4 linked regions of the Drosophila melanogaster genome follow. The protein of the gene in region 4 purifies or fractionates together with the protein of the main gene of each other region. This does not show direct contact. Each region holds a gene or a part of one and is shown on either strand. Other genes may lie near its edges. The genes, in order: clu, Hsdl2, CG10887 and Trap1.

Region 1 (4,840 bases), 9.6 Mb from region 4:
CCTCGGCACGAATAGCGTCCACTGTGTGCTCCAGGATGGGAGCTGCCCACTGGTACACCTGATAGGGCGTGGCTACACGCTCGAAGGCATGACGCATGGTGCGTCGCTTCTGGATGGTCTGGAAGGCACGTCGGAACGATGGTGATATGTGGGAAAGCAGATCGATCAGCGAGTGGCTGAGGTGGCTTGGATTGTCGGGCTTGGGATTAAAGGTGTCGTCTGTCGACTGGTTGATGAAGAAGCCCTTGGAACAGGCTGAGATGTGGAATCGTTTATCCTCCATGGTGACAACGTACAGATACATGAGGTCACCATGCAGCTTGCGAGGACCGGGTGGCGGGTTCCAGGCGGATGTAGTCAGTACCTTGAGAGCCTGCGGTCCCTTGGCGTTCTTCACATTTGGATGCAATGGCAGAATTGGCGGATCACTTACACCCGGAGTCACATACTCCGGCGGAGTGCAATCCACGGAGTCCGGTCGCGTCCTCTTCTTGTCCAGCAAATCACCCTGAGTGATCGTGTTTAAGTAGGTCAGCGAAGTACAGTCAATGCCATTGTACGCGTCGGCCGGGTCAAGGTTTTTGAGAAGATCACGGACATGGCGCACATGAATACGGGCCTCCCGCATGGTGTACGGCTCCTCTACCACTTTGATCGTCGAGCCCTGCTCAAGGTTATTGATTGACTTGAGTTCGGCGAAATTGTCGAGCGTCACGTTGTCCAGCTGCAGCGAGAAGCATGTACGATGGCACGTCTCTTCGCGGTCCATCAGCAGCTGGTGGATTTCCTGCACCAGCTCCATGCTGGACAGCTGCACGCAGAGCAGATCGGCGCCGGGACTGCTGATGTTCACCGTGATGCCAATGTCCTGCAGAGCGTCCAGATCAATGTCATCACCATCAGCCTCAGCATCCGGTGCTCCTCCTTCCTGCGGTTTCTCCACATTGGCATTGGTATCGGCATTGTCCTCAACTGCATCCACCACTGTGGGCTTCTCGGCGTGTCCGTTGCTCAGAACGGCTTCGGTTGTGGGTTCAGTTGGGCTTTTGTTGCGGTTCTTCTTGCCTACATGGGGCGATGAAGAAGTAATTTGTTGTTAGTCAATATTGGGAAAGGCATATGGAGCATTGTGTAACCTATTCGATGTATAGGGAGAAACGTGAACTTTGGACCGACTTTTGTTTCCATGTCTCTCAGAAGAATCTTGTATAAATCCGTTATTTATTTATTATGGTTCATTAGTATGTTTTTAAAAACAAAAGATTATTCTTAGGAATTTAAATTTCCAAGCAATGCTGCCAAGTTTATGTTAGAATTTAATGTTTACCATTCTTAATTTATAAATAGTGGTTTATATCTAGTTTAATAATTAAACCTTGATATTATTTGAAAAATGGTGACAGAATTAAAGGTAATGCAAATACGTTACACGTTTCTTTTCTAAAATTGTCTGGCAATATATAATAATTTAAAAAGAGGTGTCTCTACCTCCAGGCTCCGATTTTTACATAACAATACTGTCCGCACACTTTTGTCGCTCAGTTTGTCTGTGTTCGCCGGCAAGCTGTGTGCTTGCATATACATATAAAGGCATATGTACATACATTTACAACAAAACAGTAGAAAAACAAACAGAAAGAGAAAAGCGAGCTGATAAGGCCAAAGGGGCCGGGTTCGTTCGGAGTCCGTACGAACGAACAGTCCACCGAATAATCCAATCTCCTTTCGATCTCTCAGGAAAACGGAATGGGTTTAACACGACCATGCTAATTTCAACAGCCGTATACTAAATTACAGCACTGTGAGATACATAGAGATAGAGCTAGGGAGAGAGAATGAGAGAGGCAAAGAGAGTGGGGAGAGGAGAAAGCAAAAGTGATAAGTACAATGTTCATTAACCGCAAGGAATTCGGAGAGAAGGAGACAAAGTGTAGAGCGATGCGTCTACGGATAGAAAACATGATTTACATAATTGTCGAACAATTTGCGTGTGTTAAGTGCATGCATTTCGGGCCGCGCACGTGTTAATTGTAGGTTAAACGCAACAAGAAATCCGCCCGGGGGGTTAATGAACATTTCGTCGCCGTTGCCGGGTTAATAACATGTGCGTTGCCATGCCAAGAGGAAGAGAAAGAGCGAGAGAGATAGGGAGCCTCACACTTGCAGTTCTCACACACGCACTTAACTCCAATAATACACACACACACATTTACGATTGCAATTGTAACCCACGCGGTTTATGGAGAGAGGGGGAGAGGGAAGGCTCGTAAAAGGGGGTGGAGGGGCAGCCATAGACAACGGGCGCCGCTTTTAAGGCATTATAGGGAAGAAAAAGCCCATTACGTAATGTTAAAAATGTTATGTGATTGGCTTTTGTGGCAAATAATATATTGAGGCAGTTTCCAAGGCAGCAAAGCTAAGAGGAGGTGGTGATGGGTTGGTGTGTGGGTGGGTGGGTGGTTGATTGGTTGGTTGAACATGGGCGTAGGCGGAAAGTTAAACGCACCTTTCTTCTTCGCAGCCGGCCCGTCGGCAGCCGTGCCATTGCCATTGACCAAGTTCTGATTCGAATTCTGCTGATTCGAATTCGGATTCAGGTTCTTTTTGCCGCCGGCCGTGTTGTTGTTCTCCTTGGCCTTGCCGCTGGCCTTTGTTGCTGTTGCTGTTGCATCGCCCGTGGCCGTTGCATTTGAATTCTTCGCCTCCGTTTCAAGCGCCATGCTTTTGTTTCACCTGCTCGCCAAAAACTCAACAAAACCAGCGGAGGAGACACAGAGTTCTAGTTCACGTTTCTTTTTTTTTTGGGCCCGTCCGTCCGTGTTACACAACTCTAACCGCTCGCCGAGCTCGGGGTGATTTCGGTTCGATTTTCAGTGTCTTTCTGGTCGATTGCGAACGTGATTGTTGTTTGGTTAACGATCTCGTACGCATCTATGACAAGTGGGTCTTTGCTAGTTCTGTTCTTTTCAGCACATTACTTATCGAGGATATAAATCGGCCGATTCGCTAGAAAATAACGCGTTATGTTGTTAACGGCTGAGAGTGTGACCACCGGGTGAACATTTAAATATACCGCTGGCATTGGCTTGGTTGCAGTATTTTAATTAGTATTTAGTTATTTGCTGTGTATAATTGCAGATGGACAACAACTAGTGATAGGGATGCACACGCAAAAACGATACCAATATATATGATTGCATTTATTTTAACAACAATTGTGTTCTGTTTAATAAAAGGTAATTTATGCACAATACAAACTTATTTTTATTTAAAACAAATTTTTAAGCCTTTTTATAAAGTGCGTCATATTAGCGTCGTTGAGGAACAGTGAAATTTGTAACATGGGTAGGTTTTTTTTATTTTATTTGAAGGTGAATTTCTATTCAACAATTTTTAAAAATTAATTAATGTAAAGGGCCTGTTTTAAGGATGGGTTGGTTCATAGCTGGACCTACTGTTATGAAATTATCTCAAAAATTGAAATTTTCCTGAAATTCCACCGTTCCGCCATCGCCGCTAACTTATCGACTCTAATTTGACGCATACAATTTTACAGATCAAGCATAGTCCCCGTTAAGTTTTTTTTTTAATTCGGTGTGTATTTTTTACGACTTGTAATACAGCCACACATAAAATACTGTTTTTAACCAAACAAACATGTCGCTTATAAAGAATTTGGTAAAAGAGCCCGAACAGAAGGCAAAGAAAAAGAAAAAGAATGCGGGATCTGGAGAAAGCGATTCCGATGAGAAGGACAAGCCTCTGCGGCCGTTCATCAAAACCGCGACAGATCTACAGAGGCTGAAGCTGGAGAAGCTCATGAAGAATCCGGTATGTGTTTGCATTGGAAAGCTGGGTGGACATTCATATTAATAAACCTTTTATTGCCAGGATAAGCCCGTGGTCATACCGGAGCAGCGTCGCGAACGGGACTTCATGTCCTCGGTGCCCACGTTCGTGCGGAATGTGATGGGAAGCAGTGCTGGAGCGGGTTCCGGCGAGTTCCATGTGTACCGCCACTTGCGACGCAAGGAGTACGCCCGCCAGAAGAACATCCAGAACCAGAGTGCCCGCGAAGCAGCAGATGAAGCTTACCAGCAGAAGTTGGACGACAACAGACGCGCGGCCGAAGAAAAGACTGCTAAGAAACGAGCCAAACGGTTGAAGAGAAAACAGAGGGCGAAAAAGCCGAGAGAGGACAAGAAGCCACTGGCTAAGGAAGCCTCAGAGGATAGTAACACAGATTCCGAGGAAGAGCCCACAGAAGAAAAGGCAGAAAGTAGCCCTGAGGAAGGACAACAGGTGGCATCCAAGGAATCCGACGACAATAACACCCAAGAAACTTCGAATGAAGAGGCAGTGAATTCAAATACAGAAGCGAAAAGCGCAGAGGACACAAATGCAGTGGAATTAGATAGCACCGAAGCTACAAAGGAATCCCAAAATGTGGATCAAGAACAAGACAAGCCTGTGCCTTAGTACCTCCTGTTCTATTCCTATCAATAAACCGTTTAGAGTAATAAAACACAGTGCGGTTTTATTTATAGTACTTTTGTAATATATATATATTAAGCGATTTCTATACATCGCCAGTATCTAGGGGTTTTCATCTGAGGCCATCTTTCTAAAGCAGCTTGGTTGAGAAGAAAGCGTTTTGCGAATTATGCATTGAGTTGTCGTGGCTTTAGTGCGCATTTTGTTTTTTGTTGTCTTACATTTATAAGGTGCATCAAATGTTGCATTTTTGAGTATAATAAATGCTTTCAAAATTTGACATCGCAGGCAATACATTAATTATACCCTTGACAGAAATCCACCATTTTTAGTTCTGGGTATAAAC
Region 2 (3,877 bases), on a different chromosome or scaffold from region 4:
TCAGCTGTAGGGTCTTGTTCTAGCGATAGCGCACAAAAGTCCGATGAGTAATTGACTTCCTTGCCCACCTCTTCCTTGTTTCTACTCACCTTGCTCGAACTGCTGGCCATTTCGAATGTTTGGTGTATCAGCCTCTTAAATTGGGTGTATCTCTTTATAGATTATGTTCACTTGACGACAGGTGGACCCACACCTTGTTTACTCTTACTTCCTATTGTATTGCTTTTTACTTGTGACCGGCACGATTTTTAACCCACGAATTTTATTGGTCAACAAATAGGGCAGTGTGATTGCGCAGAGGTGTGCCGAAAATACAACGATTCCCTTGGATGAACTAGATCTGGTCAGTCTGAATGAATTTGAATTGCGAATAGCCCGCGCTATTCCAAAATATTAATTTATTTTAATTTAATTCATTAAACAATGAATTATTCCCACATTAACAACGCACTATGACAACTATAACTACTACTCGATCATCGATTAATTGCTGGCTTTTGGAATTTCTAAGGAATCTCATACTTTATTAGGAAAATACATACATACATAAACTGAAACGCTTGTAAACAATAGAAAACTCAGCCACTCAATCGCACCCTACAGCTTGGACTTGAGCGCCTTCATTAGCTTCTCCAGCTTGAGAGCCTTCTGGAAATCGCCGCTGATCTTCAGCTTGCCGGTCATGTAGGCGGGAGCCGCCTTCAGTTTACCCGAGAACATGTCGAAGAAGTTCTTCGAGTTCATGGTGAGCGTGGCGTCGGGAGCGGCAGTTGGCGTTCCGGCACCGCAGGATCCGGAGCCGTTCTTCAGGTCCAGGAACCAGGTGCCCTGCTCGGCGCCGCTGATGTTGAACTGGAAGACAGCCTGCGTCTTCGAGACGATCTCGGGCGAGAGGAGAGATTCGATTTTCCGGAACAGCTGCGGAATCTTGACGTCTCCTCCACTTGCGGGAGCAGCAGCATCTTCTGCCGCAGCTTCATTCTCTACCGGAGCTCCCTTCTCCTCCACGAAGAAGTCCACCATCAGCTTGTCGGCGTTCTCGCGGAAGCAGGCGTATTCGGTGAGATCAGTGATGCCCGCCGATTCCAGCACCTCGTCGTCCACAAAGAACTGACCAGTAGACTGCCTGGGCTCACGGGTCAGGATTGCGTAGGCGGCATCGGCCATGATCTCCGGCTTGCGTGACCACTTGGCGGAATCTGGACCCGTCAGCATCTCGATGGCCGCCGTGTGAATGGCAGTGCGCGGCCACAGAGCGTTGACGGAGATTCCCTCGTCCTTGAACTCCGCGGCCATGCCGAGCACACACATGGACATACCGTACTTGGCCATGGTGTAGGCCACATGCGGGCCAAACCACTTGGGCTTCATGCTCAGCGGCGGCGAGATGTTGAGAATGTGGGCGTGGTTGCTCTTCTTCAGGTACGGCAGGCACACCTTGGACACCAGAAAGGTGCCTCGAGTATTGATGTTGTGCATCAGGTCGTAGCGCTTCATGTCCGTATCCGGGGTATTGGTCAGCGAGATGGCGCTGGCGTTATTGATCACAATGTCGATGCCACCGAACTTGGCCACCGCGGCCTCAACGGCGCTGCGCACCTGTTGCTCATCCCGCACATCCACAACGCAGGGATAGGCCTTTCCGCCGGCCTTCTCGATCTCCTCCGCAGCCGAGTAGATGGTGCCCGGCAGCTTGGGATGCGGTTCCGCCGTCTTGGCCGCCACCACAATGTTGGCTCCATCGCGGGCCGCCTTTAGAGCAATCTCCTTGCCAATTCCTCGAGAGGCTCCCGTGATGAACAGGGTCCGTCCGGCTAGTTTTCCTGTGTTGATCATCCTGTCCAAAGTTTAAAGACCGTTCGCTGTGAGATCTGGATTCACACCGGTAACGGTGACAGTGTTCTCAATCGAAGATTCCAAGAGAAAGTCCAAAGTGCAGATTCAACCGATTTGATCCACACAACAAGTCGTCGAGTTTCATGCACGCACACACACTCACCACTCCACACGCACACTGTCTTCTCCTGTGCCCGGTGTGGCAACCTTCGCCTTTGACTTGCAAAAATATGGCAGCACTCGACATATTTATTTGAAAAATAAACGCACTGATAGTGGCGAATTTTTATGTTAGTTAAAGTTAATTCGTAGATAATTTGCAAGAAACAAAAAAAAGATTAACTAGTAAATATTTCAATTATTATCAGTTTTTATAAATTCACAACTAGCAAAATCATGTTTTTTGTCCGAAAACTGGTTCGAAAACACGACAAGTGATCACATCTCTAAGTTCGATACTGATAGCCGGTACTTATCGATAAGCCGTTGGTAGCTGAGTGTAGCCATGTCATCAAATTCAAATTCCAGCGCCACTTTTTACATCGTCAGTACTTCTCATCAAAAATGCGGAGTAAAACTTAGAACGGCTACCAAGTACTTTTATTAGTTCTAACTCTACCTATCTTATACAAAAATGGCACACAATGGAAAACAACGATTCATCTATAAAACTCAACGCCCAACAACTACCTTCTGCTGCATGTTTAACTAAGTCCTCCAAAGTCCTTTTAATAAGTGCAACCATATGGGTTCTAAAGTTCGTAGGCCCGGTCGCCGTTCTGTGATTGTTAAATGAGGGTGTCCTCGTCCTGTCCCTCGAAGACCATTAATAGCGAGTGCTGCGAGGGTGAGCGGCCCAGGGTCAACCCACCCAAGGATCCATCCGGCGAGAGCAGGCCAGTCTGCAGGCTGTTGTTGTCCCGATAGCCAGAGGTGGAGGATGTCTGTGAAACGGAGTCCCAGGAAATCTCGCCCAGGGTCTTTGCCTGCGCCTGCGGGGCCTGCTCCTCCTGCGAGGTGACCTTTGAAGGACATATGTATGGGAATTTCAGGGCTAAAACATCTCTGGTCCACTTACAATGCTGGGTGGTTCCATGGGCGTCAGGCGACTGCGCTTAAGTCTAAAGGTCTTTCGGCTGGCGGCCTTCGATCGCTGCAGGCGTGAGCGGGTATGATCGCCGGAACTATCCTCCGCCGGGCTCTCCGGCGAGAGCGGTGTGGTGGATGTCTCCCCGGATGAGTGCCGGAACTCCACGGACGAAACGAAGCGCAGCTTGGGTGGCTGGGCCTTGAAGGGAGCCTGCTGCAACGACTGCGAATGCGAGAGATGCGAGGGTACGGCGGAGGCGGCACCGGTACCAATACCACCGCCCGATCCATGTCCCGATCCGCTCGGCGTGGCCCCCACCAGCGTGGGCGCCGATCCTGCGTCCGCCTCGCCGCTCTGGCTCTCGCTGGTCGTCGTGTGCGGATCCCGGCCCGTGGAGCTGCTCGAGAGCGACTCCCGCGGCGGGTGCAGCGTCTGCTGCGACAGCGTGTCGCTGGGCGTGCAGATCCCGCCGGATCCGCTGCGCGAGTCGATCGGCACGGCGGAGACGTGGGAGTGCGAGGCCTGGCCCGTGGTGGTTCCTGTGAAGATAGATATGAGTGAAGGTCTTTGCTGCGACTTGTGGGCTTCAGCCGCACTAGTTGCCGCCGGTGTGTCGCTCTTCTTCTGCTCGGAACTCTCGCGATCTGTGGAGACTGAAACATGAGTGGGTGTGTGGCGTAAGGATTTGGATTCCGTCCGCTTTGGCCTCTTACCGTAGCGTTTCTCCTCCAGCTCGTCGCGCAGGTCCCGCAGCTCCCTGGCCAGTTCCAGCAGCAGAGCTCCCTTAGACTTAATCCCGCCCTGCGGCGGTGTTCCGCGCAATCGTTCCCGGATGATAAACTGCATGTGTCGCTCGTGATCCCCAATGGGTGGCTGCGATATCTGGAAGATATCAATCGTTAATGTAGTTCGATTCGATTAAATTAGAAGTATAGTTTTGGGGCATAGAAG
Region 3 (4,392 bases), on a different chromosome or scaffold from region 4:
AAACTTAATGAGACAAAATAATCATAGTTAACAACCAAATGTATAACTATTTTCAGGATAACGCCTTTTGCTAACAAATAAAGTACTTATTAATTTCAAATTTTTAACAAGCTAAGTATGTATGTATCTTATTTCGGCTACCTGAGATGGCGGTGACAAATATAAAGCTGGAATCAAAGAGCAAAGTCCGACTGAGCCGCTGACCAGAAAGCCACCCACTTGCCGCCCCCAAAACCCACATACGACCCACCGAGTCACGAGTCCAATCTCCCAAAAACACCAGGCAGCAATCCAATGCACCTACCATTAATTGCTTTGGGCGTTGGTATGCCGGCCAGTTTGGCAGTCGGACAATGGCATTTGGGTTAGAGTGCTCCGCGCTGCAATCACGACCCCATTGTGACCTTTAGCAATTTCTGCGCCGACTACCAATGTCTGCCTGCCTCAGCTGCCACGCCCCCTAATTAAGGCAATGGCCGTACACCCACTGTGGGCGCGAGAAATTGTTAATTAAATATCAGTTGCAGCTACTCCTGGCTCTACGCTTTGTTGCGTGCTGGCTAATGACATGTTTATTGAGATTTCGTATCTAGCGGCTATTTAATATTTAGTCGGAATCTGATCCGGAATAGACCAAACGCGTGGGCTTGCGGATAGCACCTCCGATCGGGAGATCGTCTTCGGAACTCGATTGCTTTCCTTCCTCCTGGGAATTGGGTGAGCTCCAAGAAGCATCATCGTCCATATGATCTTCGGTATCTTCCTCGCTGCGCATTGGTTCATTCGTAACCTCCAATGCAGAGCTTGTCTCGCAATCTGCACCCTCACCGTCGTCCTCTTCGAATGCCCCTGCGTTTTTGGCCACATTGTGATCGGAGCCTTGATAGTGCCTGTCACGTTTCGGAGGATGATTCTTCATAAGCGCGCGATTCTTTTCACGACCCTCCTGGCGAAGCTTGGACAATTCCTCCTTCATGCGCCGATCATGATCGTGCTCGGGATTGGAGCCCATGTTCGTTATCACCTTAACGCACCCAGACTGTGGCTTATTCGTGGCTCGATTACGCAAGGCCTGGACATGACTCTGTCCGAAATTGGAGTCCAGCATGGGACGCACAGTCAACTTATTCTGGATCAAACCCTGAGGCTGGTAGAAGCTGCCCAGGCGAACATACAAATGGTTCTGGTTAACGGTCACCGGGTGATGCATCATATCGAAAACCTCGTTGCCCACATGAAAGGTTTCGCTGCCATCGGACCAACGAACAATTTTCGCATTGGACTCCTTGGTTTTGTTTTCGTTCTCGCGCCACCTAACAGTTGCCTTTAGACGATTTATGAAATCCTCGCGTGACTGTTCGTCCTTCAAATCATTCTTAGTCATGCGATCCTGAAAGGTTTCAGGCACGTATGCCTTGGATTCCACGGGTATGAAATAAGGCATCTTCAGAAACTGCGATGGACCTTTTAGAAGTCCACAATTTTGGGTTGTTATGGTGGTCTGGAACTTAACTGCTACATCTTTTTCAAAAGGTTTGCGTTGTTCTTCTATATCAAGAACTTGCGACTCCTTATCACCATTTACCTCTCCATTCATTCCATTTCCATTTTGATTCTTTGCATTATCACCGTAATCGAAATTTAAATCGAGACTATCAGAAGAGGCATACGACAAGACATCGGATTCCTTTTCATCTGAACTATATCGCAATTGGGACAACCTTTTTTCAATGTTGTAATTTTTTCCATTTGATTCATACTCTGTATTTGAGCTGGGACCTAATGGCACAGGATTGACCCTGGGTTTTAAAATATTACCTTCGGATGATGTCGGTGGAAATGAAGAACATTGCAATGGGAGCAATTCTTTTTCCATTGTATTACTTTTATTTATTGGGGTCGATGTAGAATGTTGCTTCGAGAGTAGGTCTTGTTCCATCTCATCAATCAATCCATTTGCTACTTCATTCGAGCTTGGAAAATTGGAAATAGAAACTGTCCCAGGGGACAATATGTTGCCCTCGTTAGAGAGCTGTTGATTATTATCTTCGTCAATGATTGTATTGAAATTGTCTTTAAGTTCTATGAGGGAAGTTGATTTTCTGATGTTAGAGACTGTTTCAGAGTCGACACTTCCCTGGTCATCACTTTCTGAAAAGCTCGGAATGCCGCCAACCTGTCCCGCAGAAGTTGTGGTTTCATTTGAGATATTTGAAGAAGATTTCGGGTTGCTCCAGTTAATAGATTTCGGTTCTGGAGCACATAATAATGATGATGAAAGCGAAGATGAAGTCGAAAACGAAGACGATTCTCCTGAATCTGGTGGACTTCCGGAGCTGGATTCAGAGGTCCAGCTTGAATTGGATGTGGAAATATATGGTCGTTCGCTTTTCGATGATGTCTTGGCGTTCAGATCAGATCGAGATTCAAGAGGTCCCTGCGATTCAGGAACACTATTTGCTGTTGAGTGAAAAGAATGTGAACGGCTTTGGTGCTGCCTTCGTGCCTTAGTTTTATTTCCTTGTTGATCAACGCTGGAGAAAGAGGGATTCGGGCTCCTGGAAAAGCCATATGGGATTACTAAGTTCTGCAGAATATATGTACCTAAACCAACCTCCTATTGAATGCAGGCCAGCTTTCGGAAGATTCACCATCTAAAGTAAAAGCGTAGATAATAATTCAATTTTTATTAATATTCTATAGACTACAAACCTTTTATTACTTGATTGTCGTGCAAATTGGGGTCAGCCATTTTTAGCGTAAGGCGAAGAGTTAGTGGAACACAATTTCTTCACAAGCAGCACAGAAAAAAAACTATATGGTTTTTTACGTAATGACAGCCGAGCCAAGTGACTGATTTATCGATTGTTTGACAGAGTTGTCTGGGCAAGAGTTGTCAGCTTTTCTAACAATCAGTGTTGTTCCCCTACTGTTTTAATTGGTTTAAAACTGTTGGAATATACTATTCAACCTACAAAAATAACGTTAAACAACACTACTTTATATTTGATATGAATGGCCACACCTTTTATGCCATAAAACATATTGTAAGAGAATACCACTCTTTTTATTCCTTCTTTCCTTCTTGTACGTTTTTTGCTGTGAGTAGGTCGTGGTGCTGGTGTTGCAGTTGAAATAACTTAAAATATAAATCATAAAACTCAAACATAAACTTGACTATTTATTTATTTATTAAGAAAGGAAATATAAATTATAAATTACAACAGGTTATGGGCCCAGTCCATGCCTAATAAACAATTAAATTGTGAATTAAAGATTGTGAAAATAAATTGTGAAATAGCATTTTTTCACATTCTTGTGAAATAGCTTTTTTTTTCACATTCTTGTGAAATTATTTCCTTCTCAGAATTTGAGTGAAAAATGGACAAGGCTAAACGTAATATTAAGCCGTTTGATGGCGAGAAGTACGCGATTTGGAAATTTAGAATTAGGGCTCTTTTAGCCGAGCAAGATGTGCTTAAAGTAGTTGATGGTTTAATGCCTAACGAGGTAGATGACTCCTGGAAAAAGGCAGAGCGTTGTGCAAAAAGTACAATAATAGAGTACCTAAGCGACTCGTTTTTAAATTTCGCAACAAGCGACATTACGGCGCGTCAGATTCTTGAGAATTTGGACGCCGTTTATGAACGAAAAAGTTTGGCGTCGCAACTGGCGCTGCGAAAACGTTTGCTTTCTCTGAAGCTATCAAGTGAGATGTCACTATTAAGCCATTTTCATATTTTTGACGAACTTATAAGTGAATTGTTGGCAGCTGGTGCAAAAATAGAAGAGATGGATAAAATTTCTCATCTACTGATCACATTGCCTTCGTGTTACGATGGAATTATTACAGCGATAGAGACATTATCTGAAGAAAATTTGACATTGGCGTTTGTGAAAAATAGATTGCTGGATCAAGAAATTAAAATTAAAAATGACCACAACGATACAAGCAAGAAAGTTATGAACGCGATCGTGCACAACAATAATAACACTTATAAAAATAATTTGTTTAAAAATCGGGTAACTAAACCAAAGAAAATATTCAAGGGAAATTCAAAGTATAAAGTCAAGTGTCACCACTGTGGCAGAGAAGGCCACATTAAAAAAGATTGTTTCCATTATAAAAGAATATTAAATAATAAAAATAAAGAAAATGAAAAACAAGTTCAAACTGCAACATCACACGGCATTGCGTTTATGGTAAAAGAAGTGAATAATACTTCAGTGATGGACAACTGCGGGTTTGTCCTTGATTCTGGTGCTAGTGACCATCTTATAAATGATGAGTCGCTGTATACCGACAGTGTGGAGGTTGTGCCTCCACTTAAGATTGCAGTGGCCAAGCAAGGCGAATTTATTTATGCCACTAAGCGTGGTATTGTCCGACTA
Region 4 (4,806 bases):
ATTTTCGGCGATAGTTGTGCCAGCGCTGCCACCTGATGGACGTCAAAATGCACTAACAATGTTTCCACTAGAGCCAATACAATTAAAGCATTGCTTTCACACCGATTTTAAAAGGATGCACGAAATTGAAGAACATAAGCACATCAAAATTAATATTTTATTTTATATTTCTGATAGCTTGGTCAATTCGTTCATGAACTTGTATGGAAAACATCTTTTTGTACCATAGAAAAATTCAATTGCTCGAACTAAATGGGTCCCAAGAACGGTATTAGCTATTATAAAATAGCTTACAAAACGTTTTTTATAGTACGTATAATGTAACAAATTCATATTTTATTTACACTTTTTTTTAGAAATATTGGTTTCTATGGAGCTTTTGAACAAAGAATACGTTTATGCAAAAACTCTTTGTATAAAATGCCTAGTGTAAGCCCCATTATTGTGCACACACTAGGCACACAAAGTTAAAATTAAGCCCGAAAAAATTATATTCCCCTTCATTTTTGGAATTAAAATATTTAAAACGTTTAATTATACATATTTAAAACTATTTCAACACGTTTTATGAAATTAATTATAGAAATTAATATTACATAGTCGGTATATCTACACTGTTCCTTCTACGGCGCACTCTAGTATTTCTCCAGGGCCCGCGATAGCAGAGTGTTCATGTTGGTTAGCAGCATGCGGGGATCCTCAGCCAAACCGGCGCCCACCATTGCGTTTGCAAAGAGCTGCTTGGCGATAAGTTGGGCCAGATCCTTGTCGCTCTCACGGAGCTTGTTAAGCTTCTTGATGATGGGGTGCCTAAGGTAAGGAAAAATGCAAAATAAGAAAGCAACGAAAGAAACGTGAGGAGCAGGACTCACTTTGGGTTGATCTCCAGTTCTGGTTGAAGCAGGGCAAATCGATTCTGTTCTGGCACCTGGTGACTCTGGGTGCGAATGAAGTGGCGAGCGGCAGCCATTTCCTCTACGGTGATTACACAGGGATGGGTGTCTAGACGAGTGGTGGCTTTTACTTTAATAACCTGCCCCCTGAGCTCCTCCTCCAGCCAGGGAATCAAAGTGTCGAGCTCTGAGCGCAGCAGACTGCCCTCGCCAAAGTCGGTGGTCGCTGTTGTCTCCTTGGACTCTTCGCGCATCTCCTTCTCCACGGAAACGAGTTTTTTGCTTTTGAACTTGCCCAGCTGCATGAGCACCAGCTCATCATAGGGTTCGTAGCAGAAGAGCACCAGCTCGTTGCGCTTCTTCAGACTCTCGTAGTAGGGCGAGGACTCGGCAAGAACGCGGTTGGGTGCTGCCAAGTAGTAAATATTCTGCTGTTCTGCGGGAACGGCGTTGTAGTACTCCTCCAGCGACATGCGCCCACTGGCGGTCTCCGACTTGGAGGATTCAAAACGCAGAAGTTTAGCTATTTCTTCTTTCTCGGAGGCGTCGCTGGAGGTTACAATTCCTTCCTTCAGGAAAAGCCCATAGTCCCGGTAGAAGGCCTCGTACTCTTCTGGCTGCTTCTTGGACCGCTCTTGCAGGAAACGGATAACGCGGGTGGAAATCACACTGGACAGTTTGCGAATCAGGCTGCTGTTCTGGAGCAGCTCGCGACTCAGGTTGAGTGGAATGTCCTCAGAGTCGACAACACCCTTTACAAAACGCAGCCACTTGGGCAGCAGATGCTCAGTCTTGGACTGAATAAGCACCTTGCGGGTGTAAAGAGCCACACCGGTGTTTCCGTCCCGAGACATCTCGAATAAACCAGGCTTTCCTTCGGGGAAGTAGAGCAGTGCATGGATGCTCAAGGGTACGTCAGCATTATAGTGTAAGGTGAAGCGCGGGACATCGAAGCTATTGCTAATGAACCGATAGAAGTCATGGTGCTGCTCCTTGCTGATGCTTTGTGGCTCAAGAAGCCACAGAGGCTTGATCTCATTGGCCTGCTTTCCGTTAAGCAAGATGGGTGAGCCCACAAAGTTGCTGTATTTCTTGATTACCGCCTTGATCCTCTCCTCGTCCGCATATTCACGGCAATCGGTCTTTAAATGAAGCACGATTCGCGTTCCCAACTCAACGTCAGGCACCTCTTCGATCTCGTAGGTTCCACTGCCATCCGTGGACCAACGCAGTCCGGGTGCATTAGGCACAGCCGCCCTCGTGAACACCTCCACCTTATTGGCGACAATGAAGGAAGAGTAAAAGCCCACGCCGAACTGACCAATAATGTTCGAGGATGCCTCCGAGCTGGCTCCCTGCTGGGTCCCCTTCATCTGCTCCAGGAACTTCTTCGAGCCGCTGCGTGCAATGGTGCCCAGGTTGCTGACCAGCTCCTCCTTGGTCATGCCGATGCCCGTGTCCTGGATGATTAGCTGCATCAGTGGCTTGTCGGTGGTGATACGAATCTCCAGAGGCCGGTCCTTTCCAGCCAGATTCTCGCCTCCAGCGCTCAACGAGGTGTACCGAAATTTCTCCAGCGCATCGCTTGCATTCGAAATAAGCTCGCGCACAAAGACCTCGTGGTCGGAGTATAAGGAACGAGCCACAATGTCAAGTAGCTGGCGCGTCTCTGCCTGGAACTCATGCTTGTCCACCACTGATCCTGATGCCTGCTTGGTCTCCGTGGAGTAGCGACGGAGCGAGAGAGCTGCAAGTGAAAAGATGAGTGTTATGTAAACATAAGAATCCCTCCGGGGAGCCGGTTGCTTATATTCAGTGCTTACCACCCGGCGAATGCTGCGATCCAATGGTGATATTGAACGCTGCTGGGGCGGATCGGTGACTCTGCCTCAACACTTGGGCACAGCGACCGAGGCGGCACGCCTGGCCCAGCACTCCCATCGCTCGTACAGACATCTTGTTGTTTTAATGTTTTGCCCAACTTTAATGTTACCCAACTACGAAGTTTGTTCCAGCGCACATGTGTGCACAGTGTAGCCAAATCAATCGATTGTAAGTATTCGATAATAGTAAACTGGTAAAACCCTACTCATAACGGTGTTTTCTTCCAAATTTCTGGGCTGTAATGAATTTTGGACTCAAATGCTTAGTTGGTTTGAATAAGAGTTACTACATGTAATGGAGAGTTCAGTTTCATCACATTATTCAGCTCAAAACTGAAGCAAACTGCCAGCTGACTAGTTCTCTAAAGATTTCGATCAGCAAGAGAGAGAGAGAGAGATAGAGATGTTTCAACTGTGAACAACAAACCGTAAATTCTGAAGGAATTAAGAACAGATTACGTTTCATTGTTTAGCCAATGTAGATTGGATGCTGATTTTTGAGTTATGAAATAACAAATGTCTTCAAAGAAGACAGTAAATAAAAGAAAGTTAAATCAAATCCAATATTGAAAGACATCGATACCTCATATCGATATACGGTCCAATTGCTGACAGCCCTGCTCGTGAATGCAACTCTGCTGTAGCGCGTCAGCGTCGCGTTGTAATTTTTGTTGAGTTTTTTAAATAATTTTAATTAGCATCTGCGTGTCTTACTATTAGAATATCATGTGTTAAGTGTTTCCCATTCACGCCACCACACAAAAAGATCCAATCATGAGCGCCACCACCATCGACAACGTACGGGTGCTGCTTCAGTCGCTGCCTGCTGCCGCCGTAAACAGCGCCACTCAGCCGGGCGATCTACAGACGCCGGGCAAGATTGCGGCCCCAGCGACTCCCCTTCGCGCCAAGAATCCCGCCCAATTACAGATCATGCCGGAGAAGGTCGAGGAGATGCCGCCGTCACCTCCGGAGGAGTTCTGGAGGGACCTGCAGCAGTTTCACGAACGACGCGGGTGAGTTGCCGCGGCTCTCCTGTATTTGGAGACGACCTAACCCACTTTCCCTCTGCCCAAACAGCACTCCATTGACACAGCCCGCCAGGATCAGCGGTAAGCATGTCGACCTGTACAAGCTGTACAACGAGGTAACCGAACGAGGCGGCTTTAATAAGGTGACCATGCGGGACGAGTGGGACGAGGTGTACAGCGCCATGGAGACATTGCGGGAGCGCTGCGTTAACGGAACGGCTAGTATCAAGCACATCTACAGACGCTACCTGGACAAGTACGAACGGTTGAACTTCTTTGGCGAGGATCCAGACAAGATGGAGGCTCTGGAGGCGGCTATTGAGATTGTAGAAATGGGCGGTGGACGCTCGCGATCTCGTTTTTTGGCTGGCGCCGGTGGTGGCCTAGGAAGCATTTTTGGATCAGCACACTCTACGTTGCCGGCGGTGCCAATGGCCTACAACCAGCGCCAGCACTCTGTTAATGTGGAACGACGCCGACAGTACAAGATGTCCACGCAGTTGCACCGACACAGCAGCTACGAGAAGCTGCTGTTGTCTCTGCTTTCTCCGCTGCCCAATGAGCAGGACTTCGCCATAAACGTGTGCACACTTATGGCCAACGAGGCGCGCCACACCCTACAGCTGTCCGAGTGCCCCAAACTGCTTGATGTGCTGCTTGCTCACCTGGGAGTCTACGCTGACTTCACCATGCGCCAGCTGTTCCAGCACAGTTACACCGAGGTTCGACACCATTCGCAGCTCAGTTTCTGGCGCGACCTGCTACACGACAAGCCACAGGTCCTAGAGCTCTACACGGATGAGCAGGCCTGGCTGGACAACGGTCTGATAAGTAAGGAGGACGGTGAGAACTCTGCCGCTCGAAGTGAACTGCTGGCGGCCTGCGACGAGTTGCACTTCCTTAATCTGCGCCGGAGCAACGGGACTGATGAGCGCATGGGCCAGCGAGTGCTTCAGATTGTCCAGCTAGTCCGTACACTCAGCTTTCATCAGGAGAATC

Evidence for each region.
Region 1: the proteins of Trap1 (region 4) and clu purify together in Drosophila melanogaster (affinity purification with mass spectrometry, with the first as the bait; one large-scale study listed by BioGRID). This does not show direct contact.
Region 2: the proteins of Trap1 (region 4) and Hsdl2 purify together in Drosophila melanogaster (affinity purification with mass spectrometry, with the first as the bait; one large-scale study listed by BioGRID). This does not show direct contact.
Region 3: the proteins of Trap1 (region 4) and CG10887 purify together in Drosophila melanogaster (affinity purification with mass spectrometry, with the first as the bait; one large-scale study listed by BioGRID). This does not show direct contact.

Annotation. Positions count from the first base shown.
Region 1 is NT_033778.4:16,184,803-16,189,642, reverse strand, and holds the start of clu (clueless), read right to left. Parts: upstream 3,060-4,840; 5' UTR 2,721-3,059; coding exon 2,507-2,720; intron 1,755-2,506; exon of another isoform or gene 1,489-1,754; intron 1,066-1,488; coding exon 1-1,065. Other genes in the region: CG8441 (uncharacterized protein), read left to right, coding at 3,658-3,831, 3,892-4,479. UniProt on the Drosophila melanogaster protein: mRNA-binding protein involved in proper cytoplasmic distribution of mitochondria.
Region 2 is NT_033777.3:27,675,643-27,679,519, reverse strand, and holds Hsdl2 (hydroxysteroid dehydrogenase like 2), read right to left. Parts: upstream 1,999-3,877; 5' UTR 1,837-1,998; coding exon 598-1,836; 3' UTR 507-597; downstream 1-506. Other genes in the region: CG12883 (uncharacterized protein), read right to left, coding at 1-19, 90-110; unc80 (uncoordinated 80), read right to left, coding at 2,625-2,858, 2,915-3,579, 3,640-3,808.
Region 3 is NT_033777.3:20,113,299-20,117,690, reverse strand, and holds CG10887 (uncharacterized protein), read right to left. Parts: upstream 2,854-4,392; 5' UTR 2,753-2,853; coding exon 2,713-2,752; intron 2,655-2,712; coding exon 2,615-2,654; intron 2,559-2,614; coding exon 608-2,558; 3' UTR 552-607; downstream 1-551.
Region 4 is NT_033778.4:6,633,139-6,637,944, forward strand, and holds Trap1 (Trap1), read right to left. Parts: upstream 3,125-4,806; 5' UTR 2,850-3,124; coding exon 2,717-2,849; intron 2,641-2,716; coding exon 873-2,640; intron 811-872; coding exon 636-810; 3' UTR 509-635; downstream 1-508. Other genes in the region: Bap170 (brahma associated protein 170kD), read left to right, coding at 3,551-3,792, 3,857-4,806.